2 linked regions of the Styela clava genome follow. The protein of the gene in region 1 interacts with the protein of each later gene in a pairwise test. Links are inferred from orthologs where the notes say so. Each region holds a gene or a part of one and is shown on either strand. Other genes may lie near its edges. The genes, in order: ubiquitin conjugation factor E4 B-like and E3 ubiquitin-protein ligase CHIP-like.

Region 1 (11,247 bases):
TGACAAATACGAATTGGAACCATCACCACTTACACAAGTTCTTCTGGAAAAAAAGAATCCAAACACTTGCTGGCAGGTAGGTTTCGACTCTGAATCAAGCAAATCAGTATCATGTTAAAAAAAATTTAAAAGAACGCTTGACACATATTATCACCTCTGCCTAAGTCACTCCCAAGCTCAGTATGTTGGAAAAATTTAATACAATGATCATCGCTTACTCATCATCTTTCAATATTGTCTATTTACACGCTGTATATAAAGTCCAGTACTGATGTGCTGAAAAGTCTTCTAAAAGAATATGGAATGGATCATTGCACATGAAAATTGGCCATATGGTGGGCATTAATAATAAATTGGCCACCCATAATCACTATGTAGCAAATATGATGCAAAAACTACCCTTAGAAAATAACTATTTTATATCGGGCATGGACAAATAGTGTTGCAGGGAGGTCTAAAAATGGCCCTACTAATACTACCCATAACTTTTTGTCAAGTTCCTCTTTGTGCTGTTTCAGATGTGCGAGCTTCCACAGAAAACAATTTTTCATCGGTGGCAAAATTTTTTATTTTTGTATTTCAGGTGTATGTAGACAACAGTGGAAAATATAGCGATAATTCTCCTCCACCCTGTGGTTATCTCAAAGCAAGTTCAAATTTATCTTGTGTCAACTTATTTGTAATGCCATATAATTATCCGGTTCTTCTCCCTTTGATAAGTAAGTATAGATTATAAATTTTTCAGATTATTTTTCATGTGAAAATTGGTAATTTTATTCCTGACCAATTAGCAGGATTGGTTAACAGCAACATTTGGGGTGGATTGAAGCAATTATCAAATTTCTAAGAAATGTAGATTGTAATGTAATGACCCTATTCACTGTGTTTCTTAGCACTGGCTTGGTGTTGTAGGGTGGTCATTGATATTCCAGTTTACTGGCCAAGATGTAGCCTATTTAATTATTTAGTGTCTGCCAATGGTGAACAGAATCATACAGTTTTAAATAATAGTTATGTAATTAACCCTGCTGTCAGATAAATAGCCTAGATCTATTTAACATATGTCTAAAATGTTGAGGTCAAATCATCGAAGGTCTAATCGGTTCGGTTTACTGAAGTGAAAAGATTCTTCCAATGTTTTATTTGAGTATGTAAAATCGACTGCAATTTTTTTTTTAAATACAGCAAATAAATTTGAGAAGGAATATAGTCATCATAAGTCCAGGGATTTCTTATGATAAATGGTTCGTTTTTTCTTCTCTGAATAATGTAGGTAAATTTGTATCAATTTTATTTTCTAGATAAGTTGATAAAAAACAAGATGAAAATGATTCCGAGCTTGAGAGTGGAACTTGAAGATTACCTAAAAATGTTACCAAGTTATTATATTGGTGTAAGTAAATTATATTCGAATTAGAAATTCTTGTGTGGTAGGTGTTTAAGGTTGTTGTATGTAATGTCAATTTCCTCCGTGTGTGGTAAAAATAACAATCATAGCAGATGTTTTTTTTTCAAGAGAAAAACGTGTAAAACTCATAAAGAGTGATTCTGAAATTTCTCGTGAAAATTAATATGATATAATAAATGGGTAGTACCAAGATGTTGTATATTCAAGTACTTGATATACACTTGTAAATAAGTTTATTTTTCATACTTTCAGCTTAAGTATGTCATTCACAGTTTTGAATATTTATCTTTAGGCTGTAAGAAAAGCAATGCGGCAACTTGGAGTTCCAAATCTTGTTCCAGATTCTCTTGAAGTTGGTCTTAGTCATTCTGTACTTTCATATTTCAAAAAATTGAAGCAACAGGCCAAGGTAAAAACTAAATTTTATTAGTTATTTCAAGCTATTCTATCAAAATGATATTATTTAACAATAAATGTTCATTTTATTACTTTATACCATTGTGTCTTGTTTACAGGCAAGTGCTGATAGAATAATGAATTCAGTGGGACACATACCTCCTTACGTCAACAAAGGAATCAGCATTTCTGGTCGATACAACACACTTTCTGTGACACAACTTCCCAATTTTAATCAAATTCTCGCTTCTGTAACTGAAAACGCATCCTTGATGCCAAAGGTAATGGTTTGCATTGATATTTTGATACCATTCAAGTCTCAGAGACAGATAAGTGATCCTTATCACGCGATGGAGTCAAAATGGAAAGACTCATTTAATCCAATAGCTTTTTTTACTCAATTATTGTACAGTAGGATCTGCATACTATCCACTGTATGTCTTCAAAATGCAAGATGTAGTTGCCGATTAAATATAGTTTTTTACAATAGAATAAGCTAGCATTAAATACAACATGCATTTGGTTATGTGATACATATACATAGAAGTCTTGTTACATGCCCCCCTGCTCTTTTACTACAGGTTGACTTGAATGAATTTCCCAATTTTCACATCGGGGTAAATTCGGGGGATGGTATGAAAGGAAGGCGGATGTATCATAATGCTTTTGATGTTCCAAGATCTCAACTTTTGAATCAAGTTCGGAAAATGAAAGTGAATTTCCACAGAGTTTTATCATCAAATCAGTTAACAAGAATAAGACTTCAAGACAAAGGTACCTTTTTAATAAAACCCCTTAGATCGGGTTTTACTAGTAGATATCATGGAATGCAGAGATTGGTTAACTACCCATCATTCATTTCATATTTTTTTTATATGATATCAAGAGTTGATTTTAAATCCTGTGAGGGGGAAATGTGAGAGAGGACAGCTGGACTCATTAGTGCCGTAGGGTGGTTAACATAGCCACTGATCGGTTGCGAATTTCTCCCCCATCATGCAGATGAAAAATACCTGGTCAACTATTCCCATTTCCCACTTGCTAACTGGTAACCAGACGAGAGACTATGGTTCAACATATGCTTAGGCCATTTGATCTATTTCCTCTAAAATTAAATAAATACCCTATCTGGTATTATACGGTTTGCTGAAACTTTTACATCTTGCTTTAGCTGAATTGCACAATCAACCAATTTCAACAATGGGAAACTACCAAGAATATTTGAAGAAATTTCCCCAACCACTTAGGGAACTTGATCCAGACACACCTAAACGACTTCACACATTTGGAAATCCATTCAAACTGGCAAAAGAAAAGGTAAATGTAACGTTTTGGCGGTTTTCTAGAAGAATTTCTAACAGGTTTGAGTAATGGTCCTTGGTATTACTAGTTTATCTTCAATGTACAGCATAAAATTAATTTAATGACCTGGGAAGTCTGGGCTGGTATAAAAGTTTTGTCATTTATAATCTGAATATTGGTAGTTAATTGGATTTTCCATCCTGTAGGGCATGATGATTGATGAAACAGAAGATTATGATGCACCATCATCTGGTAATAAATCAGGTAGATCAGGCGATGCCGGAAAAAGAAACAGGAGAAAGCGATCAGCTAGTCCAATGCGACCCGGTACACCACCTGTGTTTAAGAAGAGTCATTTATCCACACCTGGTTTCGTCAACAATCAAACCAACCCTGCTGCTGTGGTTACCAACCATCAGACTACTGATAATCATAATTCTTTACCTCATGCTTTTTTAAATGGAGAAACTCGTCCTCCCAATGGTGCTTTAGAACTGACTGAACCATCTGCAATTAAAACGACTCCTTCTGATATTGCAGCCAAGCTGCAAGCATTGAAATCTAATTTAAAGCATAATATGTCGGAAATGATAGAACTGGAGCCAAAATTGAAGCATTCAGACTTACTCAATGGTAAAGGATCTGATAATATGTCACTAAGTGATTCAATGGGTTTAACAAATGACAGTGTATGGAAAACTATGCATAGAAAACACAAACAGAAAAAACCCAAATCTAATAAAGCAACTGCAGAAATTGAAAACGCAAACTCTAGCATCAAGGATACAGTAATTAAGTTTGTCAGAAAACCAGGAAAAAGTAAGTACACATAAAATAAGAACTTCCACTGTTAATTGGACTGATTACTGTAACTGATGCTAAGCTTATCTTTTATGGGTATGGTATTTTCTATCAAGGCTATCACTGGACTTCATCATTACTGTAACTGAAGATATGCTTATGGGATTTTCTATCAAGGCTATCACTTGAGAGATTAAATGAGTTTTATGCAAATAGTTGAAATGTAACTTCCTCGAGTGAATCCCATCACTAAATCATTGATTTGATTTTAGTAATTCCGTTATGATGACATTAGTACAGCCACCTTCCTCATTTGATGGATTAAATTCACTTCTTATTGCAGTTACCATTTCATCAGCATTTGCATATTTTGAATTGTCCAACATTTTTTTTTATCTGTAGATGACATCAATATTTTCAACGAGCTTCAAAAATTAAAAGGTCCTAAGTCAAGTTGGCATCCAGTGTTGTGTTCTGTGATCAAAGAAGCACATCGTTTTAAAAAAGATAACTTAATTCAGCACTTGAAAAAATTTGAAGTAGGTAGTAAAGGTTATAATATAAGATGAGAAATAATATTATTTTTATTAATCAAGATTAAAACAAAATATACAATGCAATGTGTTAATGATGACTTTGTTATGAAATAAGGTCATGATGCTAATGACTGGCATATAATGTTATTTCACCTTGCATGTCTATATGTATAATGTATATGGTAATGTATGCCCATTGTAATGCAATCTAAATGGCGGTATATAGAGCCTGTATTCACATCAGTTTGGAAGTTGCCTCATACTAAATTTATTTTGAAAAGCAAACTAATGTGATTAATTTACTGTGTGATATCAAATTTTAATATTATTTGCCCACAACATTGCTATCTGGTGCCATTAATTTTTTCTCAAAGCTGAATATTATTGTTGCACAGGAAACATTAGAGAAACATTTGGCTTCATCACCGCAACCGCACAAAGTTGATAGATGACAGAATAAAAATTATGCTGTGGAGCACAATAAAGACAAAGGATGATGGTGATCATTTCGTGTGATATTGGCGGATGCTGAAGTGACAGAATTGCTGACTTTATGAAGTATCAGTGTTTGCTGGAAGGTTGAGGCGCTGAGAAATAAAAGTAAACACCTGTTGAATTGACCTGTTCTGTGGTGCTTTCATCTCAGTTTAAAATTCTTCTAATGTTCAGTTTCAATAAGATGAAAACATTTTATATTGTTCCAGATCATAGGTGTTGTTGCAATTCTAACTATCCTCGGATAATAATGGATTATCCTTTATCCTCTTTAGATATACAATACTGATATTTCCTGATCTTCAGTTTGATCATATTTGGTCTTTCTTATATTAACACAATTTTTTCAATTTGTCTTTGTATTCTTCTGCAGGATTTTTGTTTCTAAGTGAATTTTTTTATATGTCCAATTTAAGTTTCCACACACCAAGCTGACTGTTGTTATCATGTGATATTGCTCTGTTTTGAGCTGTTTGTTCCAAAATGTGAGAAATGCACCAGTGGTCTATTTTTGCTTGAATTCGGGTAGGTATGGAGAGTGGTCTTGAAATTGAAAGCTGATATGGTTATTTTAAAGCTGGTGCAGATAGATTTATCATTGCATGTAGAACAGTTTTCACATCAGGTCCAAAGATAAAAAAATAATTAGAAATTGTATCTGTGAAGCGATGCGAAGGGTCGGCGACCTATCCAAGAAACTATGCACTAGAAGGAATCCATACACTGATAAATTGTTTGGGCAGAATATTGCCCTTTGAGCATGGAAATGGCTAGGAGACTTTGAAATACTGGGTGATAAATCATCTGGTTCAGCATCCACATTTTCCACTCTCACAGGATAACTCCGTCTGACCAATGACAACATATATTCAGAAATCTTGATATATACAGTATATATTGGGAATATATATTCTCATTGGGCTGACTTTGATAGAAGTGAAAAGAGATTATATTGGGATAAGTTTCAACCATCGTTATTTCTTCGTTCAAATAATGATTCTTATCCTTGAGGTAATATCATACTTAACCCGTAAATTAGAGCAACAACGAGTTGATAGAGATTCATTATATTCATTTATCTGGCGGCCCCACGACTGAGGGAAATGTGTGTATGTGTCACTTCTGGCGGATTCGCCTGATGATGACTCAGCTGTTTGTCAGCATTTTCTTTCTTTCCAGTCGTTCGCCCATGTTGTTGTTGCTATGCATTTACAGAATTTTGCAATTGTCACTCTGCCACAGAATGTGTACAGCGCAGTCGATATGTTTAGTTGAGCTTGACAGACAGACAGAAGGAATGGTTCCACCAAGAGACCAAAGCTACGAGGTTAGGTAGACACATACAGGCATCTGGACACGTCTGCATGTTCAGATGTTGCAGTGTTCAGTGACTGTCTGAAAGTTGGCCCGGAAGGTCATTGTCTTAAGCTACGGTAAGTTAGGTCAGTAAGTACAATACGGTTGTAAGGTCTGAAGGTAGGTGTTATCTGGTTATAGCACAGTGCTGCAGTGATATAAGGAAATAATGAATATGGTATGGTAGGTAATGCAATGCCTGAATTCAGCAATAATTCATCTATCAGTCTATTTTGAAAATGTCTCACTTCATACTGTTATCCATGTTTGTTGGTAATTTAAACTAAACGGAGTTTCAATCAATCAATTTCATTTCGATCACTCTGAAAGAAACAAAACAACAACAAACTGACAAACAAAATGCAGAGGATGATGGGCATAACTTACAAAAAAAGTTTAAAACGTACAAGTACAGAAGTACATGCCCCTCCATCAAAAACAGTCAAAAGAACACTATAAAAGTCTATAACAGCTTCTCCTGTTCTCTGTCATGTTCGAAATGCGCTGCTCAAAGTCACCTGTCTAACAATTTTGAAAACAGTTGGTACAGTGGTAGCATGAAAGTCTAATTACTGAATTGAGGCCAGCTAAATGCTTGACCATATTAATAAACTTTATGCTGTCACCACTGTCAGACTGTAGACAATTTTTGCTTTGAACACAGCTTAAGTCTGTAAGATTTTTTTTGTTATCTCTTGACATCTTTGATAGACATATTCCTGTATTCATCTTTCATTTTCTCCAAAAATGATATCATTTTTTCCATTACAGTATCTCTTTATTACTATTGCTGTATTGTGACATAAATTTCTTCATAAGTACAAGACTCATGAGAGGCTACAAATTATTGTTTTATACAACGGTTGGTGGTATTGTGTATTACACTATGTACTGGAGCATTATGAAAGATTCCAGTCAAATAAAGATAAAGAAAAATATGAAGTATACAAATCCTGATGACAAAGGTACTCAAGAATTGAATCAAAAGTTTATGAAAGTTCTCAAAGATGCAGCAGCACTTGATGAAAATATTGTTTATCGAGATTTTAATAGAAAAAATAAATAAAAGGTTGTTTCTATTCACTAACTGAAGAAAGAAGTTATTGTTGTTTTCATCCAGGAAAAGTTTTTTTTTCCAATGGGAAGCAAAAAGTAATCCATGTTACAGACTCATGGTAGGTTAGCGGTGGCACAACAGTACCGCATATATCAGGCCAATCATCAGGAAAACAATTCAGACCAGTGGTTCTCAAACGTTCATAATCGATGGTCCCCTTCCTGAGACTTTCAATAATTGTGGCTTCTTACTCTTTTATAAAAATACATGCTTTTTCTTTAGGTTATGTGTCATATTTAATAATAAAAAAGCCAACGAAATAAAAATTCATCATCATTCAGTCATTACAGTCAAATTATGTTAAATTAATGTAGTCATGCCGCAGTCGGGGGTCCAGTTGTACAAAACTGATAGCAATCCATGGTCATTGGTTTGGTGTGTGATAAAGTGAGGTATGGAACAAAGGTAACAAATGTGTCAATAAGTTCAAATTTTGCCCATAAGGCCAAAAGCAAATGTCTAAACCTGGTTGTTGGATTTTGAGAGTGTTATGTATGACTTTTCTTTTGGAATAAGGCATCCATCCAATGTTTTTTGTCGGTCATCGTGGACTAGACTCCATTACGACTCACTTACAGTAGAAAAGAATCTGATGATTTTTGTCATACTGATAAAATATGATAAGTTTTGTCACTCCTATTATTAGTGTTCCAGATCAAAGATTCAAAATACCGGTATTGAATATAGTTCAACATCACACATCTGGGTTGTCTTTTGTCTTATAACGACTCCATGTCTGAGATGTACTTATGCTTATTGTACTAAACTTATATTTACTTGTGCTTTTGATGGTTTATTAATTAACCTAATTTGTGTTCAACATTATTATGTTTTTAGATAAATTAAGAATAATTATTCTAGACAAAATTAATTTTTGTATGATTCACTTGGGTCGGCTGTTACACAAATACCTACCACTGAAATGAGTGAAAACACAATCACTCAAGATGAGGTAAGAATTGAATAAAATTACGGTATGCTTTTACCGTACATGGTAAACAGTTTGGTTATATTTTTTTTGTAATAAAATAAAAATGTCCTATAGGATATATTTCACAACGAAAGGACTTGGGCCATGGTATAGTTGTACAAGTTGATAACTGGGAGTATTTCTTCATGTGACATGGAATATTAAGATAAGAATTATAGACCTATTGCTATAATGATTAAATCATATTTCTGGGCATCATTTACATATAATTTTAATATTGGATTTCTTTACTTGTTGAGTAAGCGATTTTCAGTTTGTTTGCATTTTTTACCGACATTTTTGATGCAGATGCGAAGACGCCGGCTTGCACGCTTAGGCGGAGATACTAGCTCCCCACAGTCAACTCCAGTAGATAAAGAAAGCAAAAAAGGTTCATAAATATTTTCTAATTTGCATATTGTTATACAACGAAATCTGACTCCCAAAAAGTGTACAGAAGTACCTTTACATTCATGCATATATCAGAGTTGTGAGCATATACATTGCAATATGGTTGTGCTAACATGTACATGCGTTTGAGCAAGATTGGAAGCATAAAAAATGGTTATTTGTGAATCATAATTTTAAAATATATTTGAAAAGTGTTTCTTTTCTTTCATTCTCTCAAAATTCCTGGTTTGTTTCTACCGCTTTCTTTCCAAACAACACACTTTTTATTTCTGCTCAGCAGTTTACCGAGATAAAAATCACTGGAATTGAGCATGATCTTTCTGTATGCATAAGTTTTTTGAAGTGTCTAATCGAGTTTATATCTATATATAACCCACCGTTTTCCTTTCATCTAATCCTTGCGAAGACTGTCTTTTTATGTCTCAAGCAAAGTAATCAATACCATACCAATACATGCTTATTGGCTGGAGCCGCTTCATTGATTTGTCACTGATCATATCTAAATTCATGCTTTATTGAACATTATTTGACAGGAAACTCTAAATCTCTAGATACTTCACCAGAATTTTCAAGTCCAAGATATAAAGTAGCGAGATCTTCAGCAACAAGTGTGAGTTTTTATTCAAGTCATTGTTGAATAAGTATCAGTATTCAACTGAAATTGAAAAACTTTGAATTTAAATTTTTTATGTTTTATGAGGTTGATATCTTGAAGTTGTATGTTAGGTTTAGGAAAGTGATTCCATATTGAAGCCATTATCACGATTTTGAGCAACAAATACGACATGCATTTGGCTTGGAAAGTAAGATGAATGGATGGATGGTTTTATTCAGAGACAATTTCCCATTGACAAATTGTTTTTATGGCGATATGACCTGGCTATCACTTTGGCTATAGATGGCTAATTTCTGCAATAAAATTTTGATATGCACTATAAATTGAATCAAGATTTCACTGAATATGGCAAACAAAAGATTTATTATTTGATATTCCAAAGCATGTATTTTGAATAAAATAAAATCTGATGTTTCTGATACTGACAATAATTTTATTTTTGCAGTCATTGGCAAGTGATAGCAGTAGCATACCACATTCTCAAGCAGAAGATGATGATATTTTGTCTCCAAATCCAAAGCGCCCTCTGGAAGTTTTAACTGGTGCTATAAGTTCTAGGTAATATATACAAATGAATTTTTTGCTAACAGTTATGCTGTCAAACTCAGACAATTATATTCAGACATTAGTCTATATAAAAGGGATCATTTTAGATAGTGTTTGACACACATAACGGAGCAAATATATTTTCACATATACGACTAGACACATTTCTGCTGTTAATTTTTTAATATGCAACTTACTTGCTATGATGGTACTAATAACGTAGGGGCCTACTATAATGTACTATGTGTACAATTGTCATGATCAGTCATCTGTGAAAATACTAGTTGCCAGAAATACAATAAAAATACAGTTACACTGCATTCCTTCACGAAGAGAAAATATGATTCTTTAATCATGTTGAGTCAAAGTTATGACAGAAAAGCCATCAAAATGTATGAAAAAGCGAATCCACTTTTTGGAGAATTCATGAAATCGCTGCCTGTTATCATCTGTGACTAGAATTAAGAAACAAAAAATAAATTTAGCGCAGGGATGTTCAAAATGAAATAAATAATCATCAATAATATTTAAATGTAGCATATCAATGGATGTGGATTCTGGTATTGCTTCATTGAATGATTATGTTGACAATATGATATCAACTCAGACTGATGATATGGTGAGTTTTCTGTTTTGTTTGGAAATCAAAAAAACTCTGCAATGTAATTTGTTTTTATCTTATATGACAGTCTTCAATCAAAACTATGTAAAAAATACATTCGGTGTCTTATGATTGGCAAAAAATATGGTTAAGAAGAATCAATATGCTTATCTGTTGAGATGCCAATCCTGGTTTCTTTTTTGGTATACTCAAATTGGTAAAAGGAATTCTATACAGGAATGTTCATTGGGGGTAGGAATAAAAGAAAAAGAACTACTTTAATGTCGGCTAAATATTTTTTGCTCCCATAATATATTATTACCATGTCCATGCATCTGAAACAAATAACTGCTTCAATAATAGACTGGTAACCGAGCTATGTTTCACCCAGAGCTGTGTCAAGAGTTTATTATGTTTTCACTGGAGTCAAGAGTCGATGTCGTATTTTCAAACTCACTGGAGTTAAGTCAAAATTCTGATTTCCTCGGAGTCGAAGTTTGATTTTCAGACTTTTGATGATGTTAAAAAGTCTGGACTTTTCAAAGAAACTCAAAGCATTAAGTTTATATCATTTTTATCAGAATTTGGAATCACGACTTGAAATTGGGTACAACCCAGTATCAGGGTCAACATTTTTTTAATCTGGAGTTGATGGCAATTTTCTCTAGACTCCTGATCCATGGTTTTACCAT
Region 2 (10,812 bases), on another chromosome or scaffold:
AAAAAGAATCGAGCATCGTACCGGGAAATCATCAGCGTTTTAACAAATCCAGACACATCTCAAGATTTCAGCTACTCTGCTGTTCACTTAATAACGGTAGTTCAAGCATTACTGAAAAAAGCACAGTCATCAGATAATGACAAAGCGCTTTTTGAAAATGGAGCAAAGCTTTTCTATAACCTTGCAGATCTGAATTCTGATGAAAGATGGAAGTGCCCCCCGACGAGGCATTTACTAATAACCTGTATTGATATGTTAGGGCAAGTCTTCATCTATGGACAACCAGATCAGGCTGTTACCCTTTTAGAACAGATGCTGAAACGCCCGGAGACAGCTGCATTACTTTCAGCGCATTTTTCGCCAGCAAAATCATGTTCTAGAGTCAAAAATGAGGGCAGTTTACACACTGAATTTGATACTAAAGTTTTTGTCGACATGTATAAACGTGTAGTAAATGCTGCATCAACTAGTAACTCATCTGACATTCTTTTTGTACTTATCACAAAATTTGATTTGGAAAATTGGTGTGACGCGTATATGCCGCCGAAATCAGAGAAAGTCACTTTGTTAGATGCCATAATAAACGGTCTAGTGTCGCACACTACGTTTTCATGGCCTCCTGAAGATTCTACTGAAGAAACTACGCTCACAAGGTCCCAGTCTACGCAGTTATCGAACTCCGCAGTTCAAGAAGTGTTTATGACTCATTTAAGCATTTTAGTTCAGCATTCACAGGACCAAGTCTTCTTTGAGGCTATCAATTCACTTTTAAAAGCCAGTTATAAAGGCAATGTGGATCCAATGACTTGGGAAGTTTTAACCGATGCGGCATTCAATCCACAGCAATCAAATGTGCAAAATTCTGCCAAAAATGAATCAAAATGTGGACTTTCCTATGAAATTGTTGATACAGCAATAAAACAGTTAGCTGTGTATTTTTCAGAGGAAAGAAAAACAACAAAATCAGGATTGTACACTACATGGAAACCATATGTTCATCCTCTAACAAAATTATTCCACAAATTAATCGATTTCGAAATCAATTACAACGAATCAAAACAGGGTATAAACGGCACTACCTATTTCAGCCACCATGCCTGCTTAGTGGACCGAATTTTGCCGCTCTTTTCCGCATGGCTAGATCCGCTGAAAATGGAAGAAAAAATGCAATGGCCATGGAAACCTGACGACCAAGAAACTGTGTCGTCTATCCTAACAGTATTCGCGACTCTTATCAATTCGATCTGTAGTGAAAAAGCAATGGATGTGTCTCAAAGTGTGTCTTCATTATGGGAATTTTATCTTAACAATTCTCTTTTAGCTCATGAGAAGACATCACCAAGTTACATATGCGGTTCTTATCAAACCACGCTCAGCGCTTTACCTTGGAATAAATTTATTCCAAATTTAACAGACTTAGACAAAATGGTCCAACTTTGTAACACTAGAATTGATTGTTCTCTTCATTTCCTATGCCATGTTGTACCACAAATTGACTGGTCAGCTATCATGAAAATGTGTTTTATTTCGAGCCCTGAAAATGCTACACATCAGTGGTCAGAACACACATCTGAAGTATTATGCTACTTGTTACATGTCTTGTATGTTCTGAGCTCAAATGAAGCAAGATTACACTCTTACCCCAAATTGCAACATTTATTGACTTCTATCGATGTTTTTCCTTGGCATTTGATTGGCTATGACCAGTTTGATTTTATTGCCAATATAATTGCGGACCAATTTCACGCATTCTGTACAATTTTCGACTGTGAAGACCAGAAATTACAATCACCACGATATGCTGCTTTGAGACTACTACAAATCGCTTCAGGGTTGCCAGTTTTGGAAAAAGATTTTGACTGGAAAAAGGTAATGGAAAACTGCAATTCAAAAGAGACTGTTGATATTACGTGGATGAAAAGACAATCCTTTATTCGGTGTGTAGGGACACTAGTTCGAAACTCAGCCAAGACACAAAATAAGCGTGAAATTCAAACTCTAGAAGCTGTGACATCAAATTTAGTTATGAAACTAATGAGAAGTATTTTGCTTGTCGTACAATTTGACTCTGGCATTGACGAAACTAGACTTTCCTCTCTTTATTCCGAAATTTGGAGAAGCATGAATACATTTACTTCGAAATTACAGGAAATCACAAGATCACAGATTTTAAGTTTCCTTAATGAAGTTGTTTTATCGACGCTTGATTTGTCAATGGACACACAATCTCTACAAACTGTCGACTTGGTTTTGACAAGCATTCTATCTTCGGCAGCAAACACAATTTCAAGTCCTCTGCATTTAGCTGTAGTGGCTGAATACGGGCTTGATTCATGTTTGAAATTGATTTCTAAGTATCACCCAGAAGTGAACGACGAAGTGGATAAAACCACATCCGACGATAGGCTCCCAAAAGTTTTGAACTTGTGGCAGAATCTTTGCCACACCCTAAGTCAAGTTTGTAAAGTCTCCCAGAGTGAGCTTATAGAAGCATGTCTATCAAATGGGTGCATTAATACTATACTTGCATTATCGCAAAATATAGTCGATGAAGCGAAACGTTGCGGCAATGGAAATGACTCTAATGGCCCAATGTATAGTGCTTTTTTCTCTATTGTACAATGGATCTCGTCTTTGATTCCGAAAAGCGATAATGAAGCCAAATTGTTGCTTTTAATTGGATATGCATTGAAAGTTTGTGATACGTTGGAACAGGACGCTAAACTCTCCCCAGAATCTGAAGTTAATCTTAGCTCAGTTTCCGAGAGTTTTCATTCACTTCTTCCCGTGTTAGAGCACTGGAGTACTGACCGTGTTAAGACAGGCATACTCGGAACTTTTGGAATCGGACGTGCTACTTCATTATCAATTGGATTTCGAGTCTCTATTCGTTGCATCTCAGTTCATATTCAACAGATAACAGCACGACTACGGCCCGAAGGAGAGGATACTCTTACCAAAGCTCAAGTAGCCATTGATAGTCTACGGAAAATGCCTCTTGAAAATCGGACGTACACTCAAGAAATTGACAGAATCCATGAACTATTAGACCTAATACAACAGATTAGTGATAAGCCTACATGTGCTGCCCATTTGTCTTTGATGAAAAATATTTTTGCTTTCCATTATCAAAAGGAGGCTGATTGGTTGAATGTTCTATAATTGTAATTTCAAAAATGTTTTTTCATATCCAAAAATGTTGGTATTCATGTATCCTTTTCACAAAGTTAGTTACCGGTATATCTTAGCTGGGGAGCCTGGGAAAATTTATGCCCAACAAGATCTCGACCTATTAGGTTCCTATCAGAAATTTAGACTTTATACACTGCCATTGGGAGTTTAAAGCTAGGAGTCCACACAGTATTCAAAAATGGAACTGCTGAATTAATTTTATTACCAATAAAAAACACTCAGACTCTGCAGACTCGTTTCTAGAATTCTAAATAACTTGTTCATCAACCTTCAGTTTTTTAGGCCTGAACCGTAGCCAGGCGAGGTTTTATTTCAAAGTTCTTTCATAATATCATTATAATTAAACTACCTATTCTGTTTGTATTATCGTAACCACAAATCACAGCCAACTTTTGGGGCCAATTTGGGGTGTAAGGTTGATTATTTCTCCTTGTTTATTTTGCAATATTTGTCTGTAAATTTGTCATTATACTATGCTCTAATTATATGTGTATTTTAAATTTTGAGATCCTATTTCTGTCAGCATAGTTCCAAAAGAATCCCTATTGAACTGTACTGGTACTACAATAATTTGATCTACAGTATATTGTAATTCATTTGTGTATGTCCTTAAAACTTTTAATTTTCATTTGCAGATGGGGATTCCCAAATTTATTATTAGGTCATGGAGCTCATGTCTTAATATTTTCAACTCTTCGATAGAAATTTTGATGGCTAATAGAATAAAATGCCATAGTAGTTAATCATATTACGAGCCTTTTACCAGTATGGAAACACCAACAATCTTTAGTTTCAGATGCATGAACTTGGCTATCTGTACCTTGCCTGGTACGGTCTGAGAAAGTACCTGAGTAGGGTGTGGAAATAGTCGACCAGTTAGTTTGAGCTTCCGGCCCAGTAACCAAGTATATTACCAGTAACTGGCCCACTAGGAAAATTAATTGCCCACTCCTGAGTTAATTGGTTCAGCTGCATGGACTTGAGATTCCTTGGTACAATTTGCACAGTTCAAGCAAGTACCTAAAATAAGCTGATGCCAAAATTACCAAAAATACTGTATTGTTTACCGTATTTCAAACTTCATTAGTTGATCTCCTAACCGAATCTTCTTAATAGATTTCACATTAATAAATCCTATTTTTGCTGAATTTGACATCCAAAATGTCTTTTTGAAATCCGATTTTAAAAAGTGTTCATTGTAGCTTTTCGTACTTCTTTTTATTATTACTTTTGTCAATAAGTATTCTACTTTTTGTTGCTGATGTATTATTCTCAGAGTATTGATGGATGGTGGAGTGAATTTTTGACCAATTCCGATTTTATTATTTGTTATATATGAGCCATGAATGTCCATAGAACTAAGGGATGCTTTGATAAGGATCTTTGCCCCAAAACCCAAGCGCTTTGTAAACACAATTCAAACATGCTGTCAATTTCCTTTTCAACCCAAATTTTGTATTGCACAAAGGAATCCAATTTTTTGAAAATGAACCAACCTTTATATGGTAACTACTTGCAGGGGCCTATCCAAAAATTGAAAATTTGATAAGGGGGGGGGGGTTCTAAAATTTCTAATTGCTAAGTTAGAGCCATAACAGCTAGCAAGTCTGGCCTGAAAACGTAGTTTTTTAGGGGTTTTGAGGGTCTAAAAAGCGTTTCAAGCTACGAAAAATTAATGTGGGAGGGGTTGGTCCCGATCTTTGACCCCTCCCTGGCTCCTAGCGTATCTGTGAATGCTTGCTCATTTCTTTATTCAGGGTGAAGACGTTGTACAGTTGAGCCTAACTGTAGTTGTGAATTAATGAGTTCAGTGAATTGTACCTGCCCTCCAAAAATTTACTACCACCGATTTCCCTATTAGTGTTAACAGATATCTTTCATCACAGGAATCGATATTTTTATTATAAATCCTTCTGTTATTATCCATCTCATTGTGTTTAGTTATTTGGGTACTTTTTTACATTTCAAAAAGAGGGGCGCCCTGGGTCATTTTCCACATCAGGTGATATCACATTGCTTATTATTTTGTATTGTTACATAGAAATGGTCTGTTCTTATTATTTGTTTATTTTATTGACAATCTGCATGCATGCTGTTCATTTTATTGCTTAAATATTCTGTATGATTTTGGTGATGATCACAGCATTTAGGGGACATGATAGGTGCTTGTTCGTCTTTTAAAATACTGGTATACTATTATCTTTTGACTTTCTCTTTTTATTTGTGCTCAATGTTAAATTTATTATCAGCTCAAAAGTGAATTCTCTCAGCAGTAACAAACCAGTTATATAAAAGTAATGCTCTACCGGCTTGCATCTCTTAATGTCGAAAATTTGAAATTCATTGGTTCATAAGTTGCTGAAAAAAACATTTTAATTTAGCTAAACAATTCATATTAGTGTTATGGTCCCTGTGTCATGGTCTTACTCTTGCAAAATTTATCATTTCTTGTTCGTAACTTCGCTTAAAAATTGATCTTCTTCATTTTTGAGAGAGTATGGTATGTGCTTCTCATTTCCTCAACCATTATTATTTTTGCATAATGTTGATAGCAAATAATAAATAGTCCAAATATTGCCAGTATTAATGAATAAATGGCTTCTTAACTATATGCTATAGTCTAACTTAGGGTGTGAAACCTTTAGTGCATGAGGGCCAGATGCAAATAACTGGATGAAACTGCGGGCAGCACATTAATTTAACATAGGCTTTCTAGTAGTTGCATACGCATAAATTTTGATTATTGATTTTGTGACATGTGCTGTCCACTTAGGCTAGCTGTTAAGGCATTGCAACCCCATGGGCAGATTGAGCTAAATTAAACACTCGTTTCGTGGGCCGCACAATTTTTCATTGAGGGCCGCCGCTTGCACACCCCTCGTCTCTAACTGGCTTAATTAGCTGCATTAAAACATGTTTTCTTTTTTTTTGTCACCTGTTATTTTGGTAATGAAGACCGTGCTTATTGGGTATTTATGATTTTTTGGAAGCAAATATTATATTTTTGTTTGTGCTTTTTATCTATGCTTGTTTCAACACTGCAATATTGAAATTGTAAAATGAATATTATTAATTTTATTGTAAAGTTATATATTATTTATGTTGTTTTATTAATGTGATCTTGTCTTTTTAATTTAGAAAATAATCAAAATGACTGCCATGCAGTATAAGTTAGAAGGTAATCGTATGTTTGCACAAAAAAAATATGAAGAAGCGATAAAATGCTACACGAAGGCAATAAATAAGACTTCTAATAATGCTGTTTTCTTCACAAATCGGGCTCTGTGCAACATAAAGCTACAAAAATGGGAAGCCGTCGTTGACGACTGCAAAACTGCCCTTGATTATGACCCCCAATCCGTCAAGGGTCACTTCTTTCTTGGACATGCTACTGCAGAGCTTGAAAATTTTGATGAATCTATCTCAGAGTTACAGAAAGCACATACACTCGCAAAACAACAAAAATTAAATTTTGGTGATGATATTGCAGCGATGCTACGAAACGCGAAGAAAAAACGCTGGGATAAATTAGAAAAGGAACGTATTTCACAGGAAATTGAACTACAAACTTATCTCACTAATTTAATGGTTGAAGACGAAAAACGTGAGATAACCAAATTGGACGAAAACGACTCCACAAGCGATACAGACCGAAAAAATGTAGAAAAAAAATTCGAGGAACGTCGAACTGAACTAAATAACTTATTTGCACAAGTAGATGATCGTAGGAAAACACGTGAAGTTCCAGATTTCCTATGCGGAAAAATTAGTTTCGAAATTATGAAGGATCCTGTTATTACGCCGAGTGGAATAACTTACGATCGCAAAGATCTCGAAGAACATCTGCAAAGGGTCGGACATTTTGATCCCGTTACCAGACAAAAACTAACTGCTAGTGAATTGATTCCTAATCTGGCTATACACGAAGTGATCGAGAAATTTATTGGAGAGAATGGTTGGGCTGAAGATTACTAAGATGTGATTTTAATTTAAACGCTTTCTTGTGAAATCATATAAGAGGGTTGGAACTTTTTCTCTAAACCAGGGGTGTGTGGCCCGCGGCCCACAAGGAGAAATTATACGGCCCGCTGAGAAGTGCCAATTTTGAATGATGTTCGGCCCGCAGAACAAGTTTTTTAATTAAGTTTAAAATGGTACGCTCAAGTTATTTCTATCCATTTGCGTTGCAAAGCCTGGACCCAAATCCTATACCTGAGCTTGTGCAATGCGAGCAACGCATGTCATAAGATTGATAACCAAAATTTTTGGGCCCTCAAATACTAGAAAGCCTATGTTAAATAAAGATGCGACTCATGGTTTCACCAGTTATTTGTATCTGGCCCTTCTGTTTCAAAGGTTGCCTACATCTGCTCTAAACAAAGCCCTGGACAAGCAGGTTACTGATACGTAAGGGTATGCTATGATTTTGAAAAGACAGATTTGACAATGTCGGCGTGATGCGGTGGACAGGGGGTTTTAAACCTGGTATCTTCAATCTTTGACTGGTCCAATGTGCCTACCATTGCATTGCTTGACCATGCAGCTCGAACACGAATCTGATGTGCCAACCATCATATGCGAGATGGGCATTTTTTTAGGGATTTCCAGAAAGTCTTCCTAGCCTGTTTGCTGAGCACTTCGTTGTTGTGGTTGGGTTTAGAGAACCTCTTTATGATAGCCTAACTTCACCTTTCATCCAAAAGAGTGTATTATGATGTCACTTTCACTTCTTTTGCTCCTCTCTTTATCAAAACTCTAAATAGGCTTGTGATCTTAGCACTTCAATACTTAAATTTTTTTCAAGTGTATTTTTGTACATATAGATTTTTTTACACAGTATTCTTTCTTTTTGTGTGAAACATTCATTTTTTTGTTTGGGTGACATAATTTTGTTCTTTTATCTTCATCTAGGACGGGTTCCCTAGTTTTTGTCAGGACGGCCCCAAAAACAACTTTCAAGTGTCCAGTGCGACCCCAGGTCAATATATATAAACTTCTTTCACTGGACTTTTGAGTTTGGTCATGTGATGGTATTAAGTAAAAAAATAAGGTAAAACCAAACAGTGATGTCACAATAAGCACTTTATATTTTCTATAGCACAAGCAGAGAGCCATGCTTATGGGCCTGTTTACAGTAAGCCATGGTACAAACTGCTAAATTTAACATGGTTTGTCAAATCTTAGTCGACTGTACATCCATCCTCTACCATACCTAAGCGACTCCATGACCTGTTTGCGACCTTGCCTACTTATCACTCCGACCCACTTTGGGGTCGTGACCCCTGGTTTGGGAATCCCTGATCTAGGACCTAAGTTTTTTCATTTCTCGCCCCTTTGCCTCCGAGTATGGGCGAATTACCTACCGGTTGCTTGGAGCAAATAGAAAAAATGTAACATGAAGTTAAGAAGTTGCTTGGTGTTGCTTTCTGGAGAATCATTTTTATGTAACAGTATATCATTTTTATAAATTTGTTGTGGGCTTCGTAAATAATAGTCAATTTCTTCACAAACTCCATAACATAAAAGGTTGGAGAACCCCCGCTCTAGATCAATGCTTCATCCATCCTGTATTTCAATAAACGGAGCACTGGTTGCTCGTGACATATTTTTTTTATTTCAAACTCTCTTTTTTTTGCCACACGGTTCACTATATTTATATCATTTTTTATTGCCTTGTATTTGTTAAGCTGTTTTATTATTTTGGTAGTTGCTAAAAAGCAGTGGTTCCCAAACCTTGGCCTGCCAGCAGTTTGACATGGCCCACCGAATGTAAGTAAAATAGTTCACTACACTATGTTTTTTTCTTTTTGCGCTTCAGATACCGCCCCTTGCGGGCGCTCACCTGGCCCACGAATATCCTTCCGCTTCTGATTTTGGCCTCCTGTCAATCAACTTTGGAAATCACTGCTATAAAGGGACATAAGCCCAGTTTATGAGATAAGTGGACCAGAGGGTAAGCCACCAAGTCTCAGGTGGGACCTGCTCCTCATAACACGTATGGAACCTAGAATCTACAAACCAAATTAACACCATAAATACCACTGGAATGATGAACAGGGGGACCATGAGTGCTGAAAGCCATAAAAAGGTTGGGAAACACTGCTCTACAGTAATTGCCTTCCAAATTCGTAGTAGCCTGCAACATTACCTTTAGTGGATTTCACTTTTTTGTTACTACTCGTGAAATGATTTGGATAGTGGTTTTTGACATTGCATTTTTTGTGATTTTGCACTTTATTAAATACTCATGTCAACCTTTTTGCATGTGTTGCTTTCTGCTTACTTCTGAAATTCCTAGTCTTCCATGTGTACAAATACAGGATGTTCATAAAAAATTCTCAAATTGCAAAAAGAATCTACCGATACCATATATTGTTTGGGCCCCTACATAACAAATCTGGTTAAGCTATATTGAGAATTGACTTCATAACAAAATTAAAATTGTGAATGGACTTTATGGACACCCTGTATATCAGAATAAAATGAGCAATGTAACAATACTATCACAATGATTTGCATTTTGATTGTCTTTTATTAAGTTGTTCCAAGTTCAATCTTTAAGGACTTCTATATTAAGTCCAAATTTAAGAAAATATCCATGCCGCTGCGTTACCTCCAATTTCTTTTGTGTACATTTACAAGTGCTTCAACCAAGATTTCATTTTGTGTGTATTTTAAATATTGTTTCTTTATTTGCTAGAATATAAAATATCTGAGTGACAGTGTGTTTTTTATGTTTGTTTAATTTACCCTTGCTATCTCAAATACTGATGGTAAATGATACAAACCATATTCTTTTAGTTTTATCAAATTTTATCAGAAGTAAAGAAACTGAGATAAGATGTTATCAAATAGGATGTGCCTGTCGTCATTGACATTTTTGAAACAAAACAAATTAAAACTGAACACAAGACTGATATCAGACTTTGTGAAAATAGTGGAAGTTGGACCACGAGATGGTCTTCAAAATGAACCAAATATTGTTCCTACAGAGACGAAAATAAAGCTTATTAACGAGCTCTCAGAAACAGGACTTTCGGTTGTCGAAGCAACAAGTTTTGTGTCGCCAAAATGGGTCCCACAAATGGCTGACCACAATGAAGTCATGAGGGGTATCGCGAAAAAGAATGGAGTGAATTACCCAGTTCTGACCCCTAATTTGAAGGGGTTTCAATCAGCAATAATCGCAGGAGCTGAAGAGGTCGCAATTTTTGGTGCAGCATCGGAGGCGTTCAGTCAAAAAAATATAAACTGCTCTATTGAAGAAAGTCTGGGAAGATTCAAATCTGTATTGGAAGCAGTGAAAAATCAAAATGTGCCAGTGAGAGGATATGTGTCTTGTGTATTAGGCTGCCCTTACCAAGGAAAAGTACCCACTGGGGAGGTGGTAAAAGTGGCCCTAAAAATGATCGAAATGGGATGCTATGAAATATCTCTTGGTGATACAATCGGTGTTGGTACAGCAATAAAAATGAAAGAGCTTCTAAAACATGTTCTATCTGAAATAGCTTCTGAAAAAATTGCTGTGCATTGCCATGATACATATGGACAGGCACTTGGTAACATTGTGGCGGCTTTAGACCAAGATATAAGAATTGTAGACTCCTCTGTAGCTGGCTT

Evidence for each region.
Region 2: the proteins of ubiquitin conjugation factor E4 B-like (region 1) and E3 ubiquitin-protein ligase CHIP-like interact in a two-hybrid assay, tested with the Caenorhabditis elegans proteins (2 studies listed by BioGRID). The link is inferred for Styela clava from reciprocal best matches to the Caenorhabditis elegans genes ufd-2 and chn-1.

What each region holds. Positions count from the first base shown.
Region 1 is NC_135256.1:17,028,255-17,039,501, reverse strand, and holds the start of ubiquitin conjugation factor E4 B-like, read left to right. Parts: upstream 1-6,804; 5' UTR 6,805-8,333; coding exon 8,334-8,363; intron 8,364-8,690; coding exon 8,691-8,772; intron 8,773-9,325; coding exon 9,326-9,402; intron 9,403-9,853; coding exon 9,854-9,966; intron 9,967-10,491; coding exon 10,492-10,573; intron 10,574-11,247. Other genes in the region: integrator complex subunit 6-B-like, read left to right, coding at 1-76, 584-719, 1,302-1,393, 1,701-1,817, 1,924-2,085, 2,386-2,578, 2,976-3,121, 3,313-3,925 and 2 more. UniProt on the Caenorhabditis elegans protein: Acts as an E4 ubiquitin ligase mediating the assembly of polyubiquitin chains on substrates ubiquitinated by another E3 ubiquitin ligase. The elongation of preexisting ubiquitin chains preferentially targets ubiquitin 'Lys-29' and 'Lys-48' residues.
Region 2 is NC_135250.1:2,573,929-2,584,740, forward strand, and holds E3 ubiquitin-protein ligase CHIP-like, read left to right. Parts: upstream 1-6,336; 5' UTR 6,337-6,342; coding exon 6,343-7,167; 3' UTR 7,168-9,993; downstream 9,994-10,812. Other genes in the region: ectopic P granules protein 5 homolog, read left to right, coding at 1-3,162; hydroxymethylglutaryl-CoA lyase, mitochondrial-like, read left to right, coding at 10,034-10,812.